Linked DNA regions of Saccharomyces cerevisiae S288C. Changing the gene in region 3 together with the main gene of any one other region gives a genetic interaction. Each region holds a gene or a part of one and is shown on either strand. Other genes may lie near its edges. The genes, in order: YFL064C, SFM1, ECM15 and DDR48.

Evidence for each region.
Region 1: mutations in ECM15 (region 3) and YFL064C together harm fitness more than expected from each alone (negative genetic interaction), as found in Saccharomyces cerevisiae (one large-scale study listed by BioGRID).
Region 2: mutations in ECM15 (region 3) and SFM1 together harm fitness more than expected from each alone (negative genetic interaction), as found in Saccharomyces cerevisiae (one large-scale study listed by BioGRID).
Region 4: mutations in ECM15 (region 3) and DDR48 together harm fitness more than expected from each alone (negative genetic interaction), as found in Saccharomyces cerevisiae (one large-scale study listed by BioGRID).

The regions. Positions count from the first base shown.
Region 1 is NC_001138.5:2,779-5,579, forward strand, and holds YFL064C (uncharacterized protein), read right to left. Parts: upstream 1,069-2,801; coding exon 544-1,068; downstream 1-543. Other genes in the region: YFL065C (uncharacterized protein), read right to left, coding at 252-560.
Region 2 is NC_001147.6:372,292-375,074, reverse strand, and holds SFM1 (protein-arginine N-methyltransferase SFM1), read left to right. Parts: upstream 1-1,635; coding exon 1,636-2,277; downstream 2,278-2,783. Other genes in the region: DDL1 (putative carboxylic ester hydrolase), read left to right, coding at 1-1,365. UniProt on the Saccharomyces cerevisiae protein: S-adenosyl-L-methionine-dependent protein-arginine N-methyltransferase that monomethylates ribosomal protein S3 (RPS3) at 'Arg-146'.
Region 3 is NC_001134.8:236,621-239,289, forward strand, and holds ECM15 (Ecm15p), read right to left. Parts: upstream 848-2,669; coding exon 533-847; downstream 1-532. Other genes in the region: HTB2 (histone H2B), read left to right, coding at 1-267; alpha,alpha-trehalase NTH2, read right to left, coding at 2,321-2,669.
Region 4 is NC_001145.3:606,792-610,538, forward strand, and holds DDR48 (DNA damage-responsive protein 48), read left to right. Parts: upstream 1-1,897; coding exon 1,898-3,190; downstream 3,191-3,747. Other genes in the region: HOT1 (Hot1p), read left to right, coding at 1-1,349; PAI3 (Pai3p), read right to left, coding at 3,368-3,574. UniProt on the Saccharomyces cerevisiae protein: DNA damage-responsive protein that may be required for maintaining the rate of spontaneous mutagenesis. Shows low ATP and GTP hydrolysis activity.

The DNA.
Region 1 (2,801 bases), on a different chromosome or scaffold from region 3:
TCACCTGCCACTACGTCTTCCGCATTCCGAGTACTAGAGAATGAACAATGGTAGTCGCTTTCAAGGCCTAACCATTGAATCCAGCGCTCGGAAGTGAGTCCGTCAAGCGTCTTTAGTCGAGGCTCCGATGAACCGTTCTTGTTGTATCGTCGACGTATACGTTGCGCTGTAGCTCTGGATAACGGTAAGCGTATCACCGTAAGCTCGTCAATTATTTTTGAGAGCCGCGGTCATTTTGTTAGTATCTCTTCTCAACTTGGGCAGCACACACGCAAAACATCACCCAATCGGTCCTTTTTGTTCATCATATCGTTACATATCTGTGAAAAGTACTTTATCTCAATGGGTTTACGTGGGCATAGATCACGCTTCAGCCGCTCTGTGTCGACTTTCTTTTCGCCAGGTAAACTTGCTTGGTATGCAGAAAAAATCGATAGCTCATCTACGTGTAGTAACAAAAACATGTGGGGTGCCAAATTGTACCCATATTTCCTTATGGTGCTTTTCTGAAGACTCCTTACAATAGGTGCGCCAGAAACAAAGTCAGTGAAAGTACGCATCGTAGAGCTGTCGTTCGGCCTGGCACTCGCTATTTCGTGACAACGTTCCAGGACACGGAAAACTCAACTCATTATAGTATCCTCTGTTGAGGTAAAAAAGAGAAAGGGTATCGTAATCCTTTCTATTGAATTTCAAAGTATGCACTTGAAACAACGTGTAGACCATCAAGTTGATTTTCTTGGGAATAAGATACTTTGAAGGGATTGGTCCGCCCTGGAAATCTGGTTCGTCTTCAACAAATGTCAGGAACTTTTGTACATTTTTCCCGACCATGACGGAAATGACAATTTTTTCAAAAGACCTTTTCCTATTCATTGCACCAGTTCTGAATTTTACCACTTTGATTAGGCCAGACTTTTCGTCTTCGTAGAATGACCGCACTTCCGTGGGGATCGATTCAAATAAAGTTATTGAGGGACAATGTACCAAGTCGTTTTTGTTATTTAGAGCCGACTCAAACTCGTCAAAGTTTGCTTTTTCAAACTTACGCCTATCGGAAACTTTCATTTTATTTTTGTAAGTTTCGAAATTAACAATAGTATGTTGATTGTTATGCTTTTTGACAAGAAATCCATCAATATAAACAAAAGATTGTCCAGTTTCCGTCTTATCATCATCTAAGAATGTAATAATTAAGCTATTGAGAAGATGCAGAATCTGCGCTATGCAGGTGCAAATCTCCAGCAGCAGCAAAGAAAATTCAGTTAATAAGAAATCTCACTAAGATAAGCGACTGTCTGTCCCCTTCAAGCACAACATAGAAAACAGAAGGATGTCTCATTCATCGCTTGATTTCCGGCCTGCAAAAATAAAGTAGTCGGTACGCACTTTCGTTTTCAATTTCCATGGTGCACAGTATCTTAACTATCTGCTTAGTCGAGGAGAACCAGGATTCGTGGATATTCTCTTGGATACTTCAAACATGGACCTACGCTTAGCCTGCGCTTAGCCTACAACTTCTTCCGCTCTCGAAAAGACCAATATAATAGAAAGTTATAAATTACATTTCCTTATTAGGTATACGACCTCGCGCTTCGAAGTAGAGGAGCCCTTTTTGGCGTACCTACATATGGCGCGTCAGACAGACAAACTTCCCCCAAAAATGTATTACCCCGCCGAATAAGAAAACAGACCCATTCACCCACGACGTATCAAGTTACTTCCTTGGTGCAATGTCCCACTATAAAAAAATTCCTTGACGCTAGATCGTTGGACTAAAATCTGCGTCCCAATCGCCTAAACAGGAAATATTGCCTATTTTCGTACAAGGTTACTTCCTAGATGCTATATGTCCCTACGGCCTTGTCTAACACCATCCAGCATGCAATACAGTGACATATATATACCCACACACCCACACACACCACACCCACACACCCACACCCACACACCACACCCACACCACACCCACACACCACACCCACACCACACCACACCCACACCACACCCACCACACCCACACCCACACACCACACCCACACCCTAATACTACCTCAACCCTACCCTAATCCAACCCTTCCATCCTGTCTCTCAACTTACCCTCCATTACCCTGCCTCCCCACTCGTTACCCTGCCTCCCCACCACCAACCCACAAATCCACCATAACAGTTACCCTCCAATTACCCATATCCAACCTCACTGCCACTTACCCTGCCATTACCCTACCATCCACCATGTCCTACTCACTGTACTGTTGTTCTACCCTCCATATTGAAACGTTAACAAATGATCGTAAACAATGCACACATACTTACCCTGCCAATACCCTACCATGCCCCATCTGTCATACTCACCATCACTTGTATACTGATACGGCATACGCACACGGATGCTACAATAGTATATACTATCTCAACTTACCCTACTTTCACATTCCACTCCATGGCCCATCTCTCACTTCATGAGTACAAATGCACCCACATCATTATGCACGGCACTTGCCTCAGCGGTCTATACCCTGTGCCATTTACGCATAACTCCCACTATTATCCACATTTTAATATTTATATCTTATTCCGCGGCCCCAAATATTGTATAAATGCCCTTAATACATACGTTATACCTCTTTTTCACCGTATACTAACCACTCAATTTATATACACTTATGCCAATATTACAAAAAAATCACCACTAAAATCACCTAAACATAAAAATATTCTATCCTTCAACAATAATACATAAACACACTCAATTGCGTATCAATACCACCATGAGGTCATTAACTTAAATGTTCCTTAAT
Region 2 (2,783 bases), on a different chromosome or scaffold from region 3:
AGTTCCAAATCGAGGAGCATTGAAACAAAGTTAGAAAAGAAAGTTTCAAACCTCTTCAATTTATCGGACTTTTTACAGTTGTTCAATGGTAATGCTAGTAAAGATCAAGATGATGCACAGAGCTTGGAAAAGCAAATGGAAACAGACTATAACAATGCAGATAACAGTCAAGGCGCTAATGCTAGTAGCAAAATAGAAGATGGCAAAAATTCGGGCGCAAGCGATAGACAAATTAGAAGTAACAGAAGAGATGTGGATAACTTGATACTATGCGTTCACGGTATAGGTCAGACTTTGGGTAAGAAGTACGAATACGTAAATTTCGCACACACGGTAAATCTACTTAGGTCTAATATGAAAAAAATCTACAATAATTCTGAGAAACTACAATCATTAAACACAGCACCTGATTATAAAAGCAACTGTAACGTTCAAGTGCTACCCATCACCTGGAGGCACTCGATAAGTTTCCAAACGGATGCTAAGGAGGAAAATATAGAAAATCCTGACCTACCGACTTTGTCACAAGTCACAGTAAATGGAGTGTTACCCTTGAGGAAGCTACTGGCTGACGGTCTACTAGATATTTTGTTGTATGTCGAACCATACTACCAAGATATGATTCTACAACAAGTAACCTCTCAATTGAACAAAACATATCGGATTTTTAAAGAATTTAATCCAGAGTTTGATGGGAAAGTCCATTTAGTGGGCCATTCGTTGGGTAGTATGATATTATTTGATATTCTATCCAAACAAAAAAAATATGAATTAGAATTTCAAGTAGACAACCTGTTCTTTATTGGCTCACCAATTGGATTGTTAAAGTTAATTCAAAGAACAAAAATTGGTGACCGTCCCGAATTTCCCAATGACTTGGAGAGAAAATTAACCGTACAGAGACCGCAATGTAAGGACATTTATAATGTTTACCACGTCTGTGATCCCATTTCTTATAGGATGGAACCTCTTGTTAGTAAAGAAATGGCTCATTACGAACAAACTTATTTACCACATTGTAGTGAAGCTTATGGACTAACTTCTAAAGTTTTGGAATTTGGCGAAAACATATGGAAAGATTTGCCAGGTACTGATGAAAATAATTTGCAGTCCAAAAAAACTTCTCCAGAAAAAAAAGAGGTCAAGTTATCAGAAAATCTTACGAGAATGCTTACAGGTTTGAATTACACCGGACGTCTAGATTATGCTATGTCTCCAAGTCTGCTAGAAGTGGATTTTATATCAGCTATAAAATCACATGTTTCTTATTTCGAAGAACCGGATATTGCAGCGTTTATCCTAAAAGAAATTTTAAGTAAACATGAAAATGCATCAGAAATATATGTAAAAAGAAAGACTGGTTGATCAGTAAACGCAAGGCACAAGTTTTTTTTAACTTTTTTCTTTACTGTCTATTATAGTTCCACTGTGTAAGGTTGTATTCTTTCCGTACTTCAACTTGCGGGTAACAGGATTGACACCTTTTCAATTTTTTCCGTTATTTTGGATTAGAAATTTTCGGTAAGCTCATCGAGTATTGTAAAAGAGCAATGCCCTTTGCTTATTAGATGTTGAGGGGCATATCTATTGTTAATATAGATTGATACAGCTGTGGAGATTATTTCTAGATATACGATGAAGTACATTATTGAGCATATGGAGGAAGGGTTTAGTGAATGGGTCATTTTAGAGTATAGCCAAATCCTGAGAGAAGTAGGAGCTGAAAACTTGATTTTATCATCGTTACCAGAGAGTACCACGGAAAAGGACATCCCTCAAAGGCTACTAAAACTTGGTTTAAGATGGACTACAAAGGATTTGAAGGGCATTAACGAAGATTTCAAGGATTTGGAACTGTTAAAAGATGGCAGAGTCTGTCTATTGGACCCTAGGGCTACAATCGATTTACAGCCGGAGGATGCTACGAAATTCGACTATTTCGTATTTGGTGGCATATTGGGTGATCATCCTCCAAGAGATCGTACCAAAGAACTAAAGACTGCCTATCCGAATCTTTTAATTAGCAGAAGACTAGGTGATAAACAAATGACTACGGATACTGCCATAAGAACAACACAGTTGATTATCAAAGACAGGATTGCATTTGAAGACATCAAGTTCATTGACTACCCTGAATTTAGGTTCAATAAAAATGAGGCCACGGAAATGCCATTTAGATACGTTTTAGATAAAGAAGGTAAACCTATTTTGCCTGAAGGGATGTTGGATTTGATCAAGAAGGATTCTGCTCAAAGTTTGGACGATCTGTTGATGTAGATGAGAACAGTCCTTTAAGTAACATTCTATGGTTGTAATAAGTGATGATGCTTCCTTGTCAAAGAGTTAGTTGAAAAGTTTAGGGTCGTAGCATTAATTATATTGTATATAGTTCAAAAACGACATTCAATGAAAAAATCAAGTTTATTAGCCAATGAATATTTCGTATTTTGCGTTAGTAGCGCTACCAAGACTTCTGAAAAGTGCATGCAAGAAAAATAAAAACAAGGAACCGTTTACTTTTATGATATCATCATTGTCAGGCCAAATAGGATAAAATTGATTGGTTGTATTATGCTTTTTAATTGAAAAAAAAAGTAGAAACTTTTATTATTTTATTTAAATTAATTTCTTTACATTACTTGCATCTAAAACCAAACGAGCTGGTGACTTCAAGCACTGCACTAGTTGCCATGGCTTTGCTAATTCAGACGACCCCCTTGAGGTGAAAAAATAGTCTCAGTAATGAAACAATCATAGGCAATTAGTTCGATTTTTTATAATTA
Region 3 (2,669 bases):
TATATTTACAAAGTTTTGAAGCAAACTCACCCAGACACTGGTATTTCCCAGAAGTCTATGTCTATTTTGAACTCTTTCGTTAACGATATCTTTGAAAGAATTGCTACTGAAGCTTCTAAATTGGCCGCTTATAACAAGAAATCCACTATTTCTGCTAGAGAAATCCAAACAGCCGTTAGATTGATCTTACCTGGTGAATTGGCTAAACATGCCGTCTCCGAAGGTACTAGGGCTGTTACCAAATACTCCTCCTCTACTCAAGCCTAAGTCACTCACTAGGTATTGTGATTTAGTCATGTTTTCTTTTTATTAGTGGCATTTTTTATATATTGTAACATTAGGGTTCTGTTACTTGTCCAGATATGATTGGAAGGGTCTAGTCTATCAGCCTCCGAAGGGAGTTGTATAAATGTATATATATAACTTTATAAACAAAAAAAATTGGGAAAGATATTTTGCAAACAGTTATTATTAAATTGTTTCTTAAACTCTCCTTAAAGATATACCCTATTTAGGTTCACTACACGAGCATTCATTGAGAAATTTTTTTTAAAACAACATCGATCTTATCTTGAGCAGTTTGGTGCTTATCAGTTCTAGTCCCAACACGAATATCAGTGTGTACTCTAACATATCCTTTCTCATGACCGTATTCATGGATTTCGCCAATCAAACCCATCACATCATCCCAAGGCCCTTCAATTGTTGTTCCTGCACTGTGTAAAGTGCTCTTTAATGGGCTTTCTCTGATTTTTTTTTCAATGAGTGCAACAAAATCAGAAATACTAGCAGAGTCGGTGCCAATAGGGACCATACACACGTCCGCTAAACAAAAGATCTTGGGCATTTTCTAAACTTGTAGTTTATGTGCTTTATAGTTAATGATCACGACGGCAATGACAAAAACTGAATATCTTGATCTCTCCTTTTGACGATGTCAGTGAATCCCGGTTAATGATATTCTGTTTTTCACGGGGTGGAAAAGAGGGGAGCTTGAATCATACTAAAAAAGGAATGTCAAAGAGCTATATAATTCGAATAAAAAGTAAAAGAAACGAAAGGTTTTATTAAAGGGTTTGGAGCTGTTTTCGGACTGAAAGCCAGTAACAAGCTTGTGTAGGAGTTTGTCTGAAAACCATCTTCATTTCAAATAAGAGAGCGAGTAATTTTTAAATAATTTCTTTTCTGAACTACTTAAATCGCTATGTACCTTGCGAAAATTATTCTTTAATAGTTTAACTAAAAGTAAAAAGTTAGAAATCATAAATAAAAAATCAAAGAGACAAATCTCGTTGCAAAAGCTTGAAAAATAGTGCTTTACCAACAGGTTGGCAAACCAGAATGCTAACAAAACTTAAAATCCCATTTCCCAAGAGGATCAATCAATCATATTTACCTTGATAGTATAGGATACAAGTGTCTGTGCAGGCCTCCGATAACATGTAAAGTAATAAAAGTAGGAGTACTTGCTTTCAGCAGAAAATGAAAAAAAGAACGTTCAAACAGACTGAAAATATAGCTATTCAACTGGCACCTACTAATATCAATAATAATAAATTAATCTTGAGCAAATTGATCCTACATAAATCATGTGACTTATTTATTTAATTATTATTAAGTAAAAAAGATTTTCTATTTAAATTTATTAATTAATTTTTTTTCTTAAATAATTATTTTATGTTTTTGTTTTCCGAAAAAGAAAAATATTTCAACAAGAAGTATCAATATATTTCTTGCAAAAAATTGTTCACCGAGAATTGACAAAAAAACCTTACGTCGGTGACGACGATATACAGATCCTATATTCTTCATGTATGTAATAGATTCCCATACCTTCTTCGCATTTAAGACACTAATAGAAATGAAAGCTTTCTATTAGTCATTCTTCCTATGCACTAGACCACGCAAAGGTGAACCGGCTTGGTACGAGAATTCTATCACACGGTAATGATAGTGTTCCCGATGTCAAGCAGTCTTATACAGTACTACCCAAGAGCTTAAGAATAAGCAAGAAGATCTGGCAAGCTACAAGGTACTCATAACGATCTTCAAAGCGTAAGTTATGATCTTATGAAAATCAGACTTTTTTGTCTCAACAAACTCCTAGTTTGAAGATGTTACTGAAATGCCCTTCAAACACTTTTACTTGAAAATCATCGATTACTATTCTAACCTTCACAAATGAGCCTTTACACAACTTGATTAATAATAATATTTGACCTTACTCTAAATCGTCTCAAATATTACTGAGGCACAATCTCATGGTTATTGATAGAAAGAAGAATATAACATATATCTTATTTACATATGTTCGTCAATATTATAGGTAATACAATTTTTTCTCAGAGGGTTTCAAACTATTGAAAAATGGCAATGGTGGACTACAAGCAGCGAGAGCCCTTCTTGCATGATTATTCATATATTTCAATCCGAGCAAATAACTTGTGTTCACCCAACCAAAGCCTTCTGTAGCGACGCCCTTAAAATCAGCACCTTGATTACCATATTCCGCATCAACGCGATGCGGATCAGTCCCTCTTGTCACATCATATTTTTCTACCACCATTCCGTTATAATCAACAAATGATTTTGTAATCATGTACAGCCACCTATAAGCCAATCTTGTAGCTACTTGTTGATAACCATATGCAGATAAACCTTTCCAGGCT
Region 4 (3,747 bases), on a different chromosome or scaffold from region 3:
CCAACACCCATTCTGGTATCAACCAGCATCGGACTACGAATGGAACCATAGATGTGAATACGAATACTGCACAGCTAAACAACCAATTTTCTAACGCACTAAATACTATCTTACCTGATCAGCAGCATAATCGAAATAATGTTTCCCAAAATATAAACCAATCGCTCCCTAACCGACAACTTGGTCCTGTTATAAACACACAAGCCAATCAGAACCAGTCGCAGGTTTTAATTCATAACACAAATACACATCAGCAGGTAAATCGCTCGCCTATTAGTTTCCCGAACGCTTCAACTGACAAGCCATTCAAGTTGAACCCAAATGGGATTAAACGGCGCAGAAGAAATACGCAAAGTAACAACAATGCGAGCACAAATGACCATGCTAGTGCTGCACAAAAGCCCATATCAGCCCTATCTCCATTAACGAATTCTCATAATTCTACAACTAGCATGAATTATACCAATTCTTCCATTCATTCAGGCGTCACCAGTGCTTCAAATTCATTTCATGACTTAAATTCATTGAATAACTTTGGCACGACAACAGCTTTAAGTTTGCCCAGCTTAGCCCTAGATAACGCTTCTTTTCCCCCAAATCAAAATGTTATACCCCCTATTATAAATAATACCCAGCAGCCTCTATCATTTTCCCAATTGATCAATCAGGATAGCACGACATCTGAATTGTTACCGAGTGGTAAGTCAGGGGTGAACACGAATATTGTAAATAGAAACAGAGCTTCTACTCTACCGTCGTACCCAAAACCAATGACAGTGAAAAGTAATGTCGACGATGATGGCTATCAAGAGGATGATGATGATGACGGTGATGACGAAGGTGATGGAAGGGATAATGAAGAAGACAGCACTGCTGAGGAAGATGAAGTAGATGATGAAATCGAAACAGATATGAAGAACGCTTCGATTAACAAGCGGAGGAGGAGCTTGCATCATAAAAAAAGTAACTCTTTAAACGGTAGAAGAAAGCTTCACGGCGAGTCGGCTACTAAGCCCAACATAAACTCTGATTTACATTATAGGATATTGAAGGCTCCCACTGACGTAAAGACTATATGGGAAGAGTATGATACTGGAATAAGAGGAAAGCCATCGATCAAGCATCTTGAGGCCAAGTATGGTAACAAGTGGAGGCTCAATAAAAATAAGAAGACCTTTTCAAGGCGAAAAAGATTGTACAAGTTCATTCTGAACGGTATGGAGAGAGGTAAAACGGCACAAGAGATGATAGAAACCTTAGAGAACAAAAGGCTATATAAAGATGATGAGGATGGCGAAGTAAAGAAAAGAACCATTGGCTGGTTGCAAGAGAGCCTTGCTGGAATATAGGCACGTACGATAGTAAATAATCGTTTACAATCATAGGAAGGAAGGAAAAAACAAGTGTAACATAAATACATTCTGTAAATCTACAAAAATCGTTAGTGCTGTTTTCTTTTTGAGATTGAAAAGTACGAATCATACACATCTCTTATTCTGAGAAGGGTGCATATGACGTAAATCAATGCGTACAAAGCGGTTTCCGGTGCTGGCCTGGCCCACCACAGTTTTGGCGTGGTTGATTTTAAAAACCTTCGGGAAGGTGAAAAAACCACTCCGAAGGTTCGAGGATGACAAATCGCCCCTTAGCTGTGGCCATACAAGCTTGGCACCGACGAAAAAGGGAAAAAGGAAAAGAATGTCGTACAAGAACTCTTACAACCACGTTGAGATTTCATTTAACAACGCCCCCCTTTCCATTATATAAGAAGGCATTAATTTTTATGTAATAAAAAAAGAATTTCTCGAAAATGTCTTACAATTAATTTTTTCTTTTGTAGAGTAGGGCTTTAATAGACTGATATATACGGTATTATAAGTGAACGAAAAAAACAGCAATGGGTTTATTTGATAAAGTGAAGCAATTTGCTAACAGCAATAATAACAACAATGATTCTGGCAATAACAATCAAGGCGATTATGTTACCAAAGCTGAGAATATGATCGGCGAAGATAGAGTCAATCAATTCAAAAGCAAAATCGGAGAGGACAGATTTGATAAGATGGAGTCCAAGGTTCGTCAACAATTTTCTAATACCTCTATAAATGACAACGACTCCAACAACAACGACTCATATGGTTCTAATAACAACGATTCATATGGTTCTAACAACAATGATTCATATGGCTCTAACAACAATGATTCATATGGCTCCAACAACAATGATTCATATGGCTCTAACAACGATGATTCCTACGGTTCTTCCAACAAGAAGAAGAGCTCTTATGGTTCTAACAATGACGATTCGTACGGCTCCAGCAACAACAATGACTCTTACGGTTCCAACAACAATGACTCTTACGGTTCCAACAACAATGACTCTTACGGTTCCAACAATGACGACTCTTACGGTTCGTCAAACAAGAATAAGAGCTCTTACGGTTCCAACAATGACGATTCTTATGGCTCTAACAATGATGATTCATATGGTTCTTCCAACAAGAAGAAGAGTTCTTATGGTTCCAGCAACAACGATTCGTATGGTTCTAACAACGATGATTCATATGGTTCTAACAACAATGATTCATATGGCTCTAACAACGATGATTCCTACGGTTCTTCCAACAAGAAGAAGAGCTCTTATGGTTCTAACAATGACGATTCGTACGGCTCCAGCAACAACAATGACTCTTACGGTTCCAACAATGACGACTCTTACGGTTCGTCAAACAAGAATAAGAGCTCTTACGGTTCTTCTAGCAACGATGATTCTTACGGATCTTCCAATAACGACGACTCTTACGGTTCTTCCAACAAGAAGAAGAGTTCTTATGGTTCCAACAATGACGATTCTTATGGCTCTAACAATGATGATTCATATGGTTCTTCCAACAAGAAGAAGAGTTCTTATGGTTCCAGCAACAACGATTCGTATGGTTCTAACAACGATGATTCCTACGGTTCTTCTAACAAAAAGAAGAGTTCTTATGGTTCCAACAACGATGATTCATACGGCTCCAGCAACAACAATGACTCTTACGGTTCCAACAATGACGACTCTTACGGTTCCTCTAATAGAAACAAGAACTCCTATGGGTCTTCCAACTACGGTTCATCCAACAATGATGACTCTTATGGTTCATCTAATAGAGGCGGTCGTAATCAATACGGTGGTGACGACGATTACTAAGTTTTTGGATGTCTTCGATAAAAAAAATATATTATTGTGTTTAGACTTAAGTATGAAAATTTTATGTATGAGCTGTGGCTATGTATCCGCTGGCAAATAGGTCTGCTTTTTCTACACTTTCCACCCTCAACCTAACAGAGCCCGCTGGCACAAATAATCGATAGTAGGACAACAGAGCTACTCCTTCTTATGCCCCGCCCCTTTGAGCTTGTTGTATTGCTCTTGATAGTTGTGTTTTTCACTTTCATCAGCATCGGTAGTCTTGCCGTCCTTGTCTTGACTAGCCATTTTCTTAAAAGCGTCACTCACTACCTTTGCATCGCCCTGCAATTTTTCCTTTGAGCTCTGAAATATTTCGCTCACTTTTTGTTGGTCTGTATTCATTCTGGATGTCTTGGTTGTAGAAATTTCTTTTATTGGTTCATTAAAGTCAAGGTAAATGGCGAGAACTAGAATAGAGTTTTATTCTTTTTACCGTTATATAGATAATTCTAGCCGGGGGCGGTCGCCCCTGAGATTCCCGACATCAGTAAGACATAGTACTGTACGATTACTGT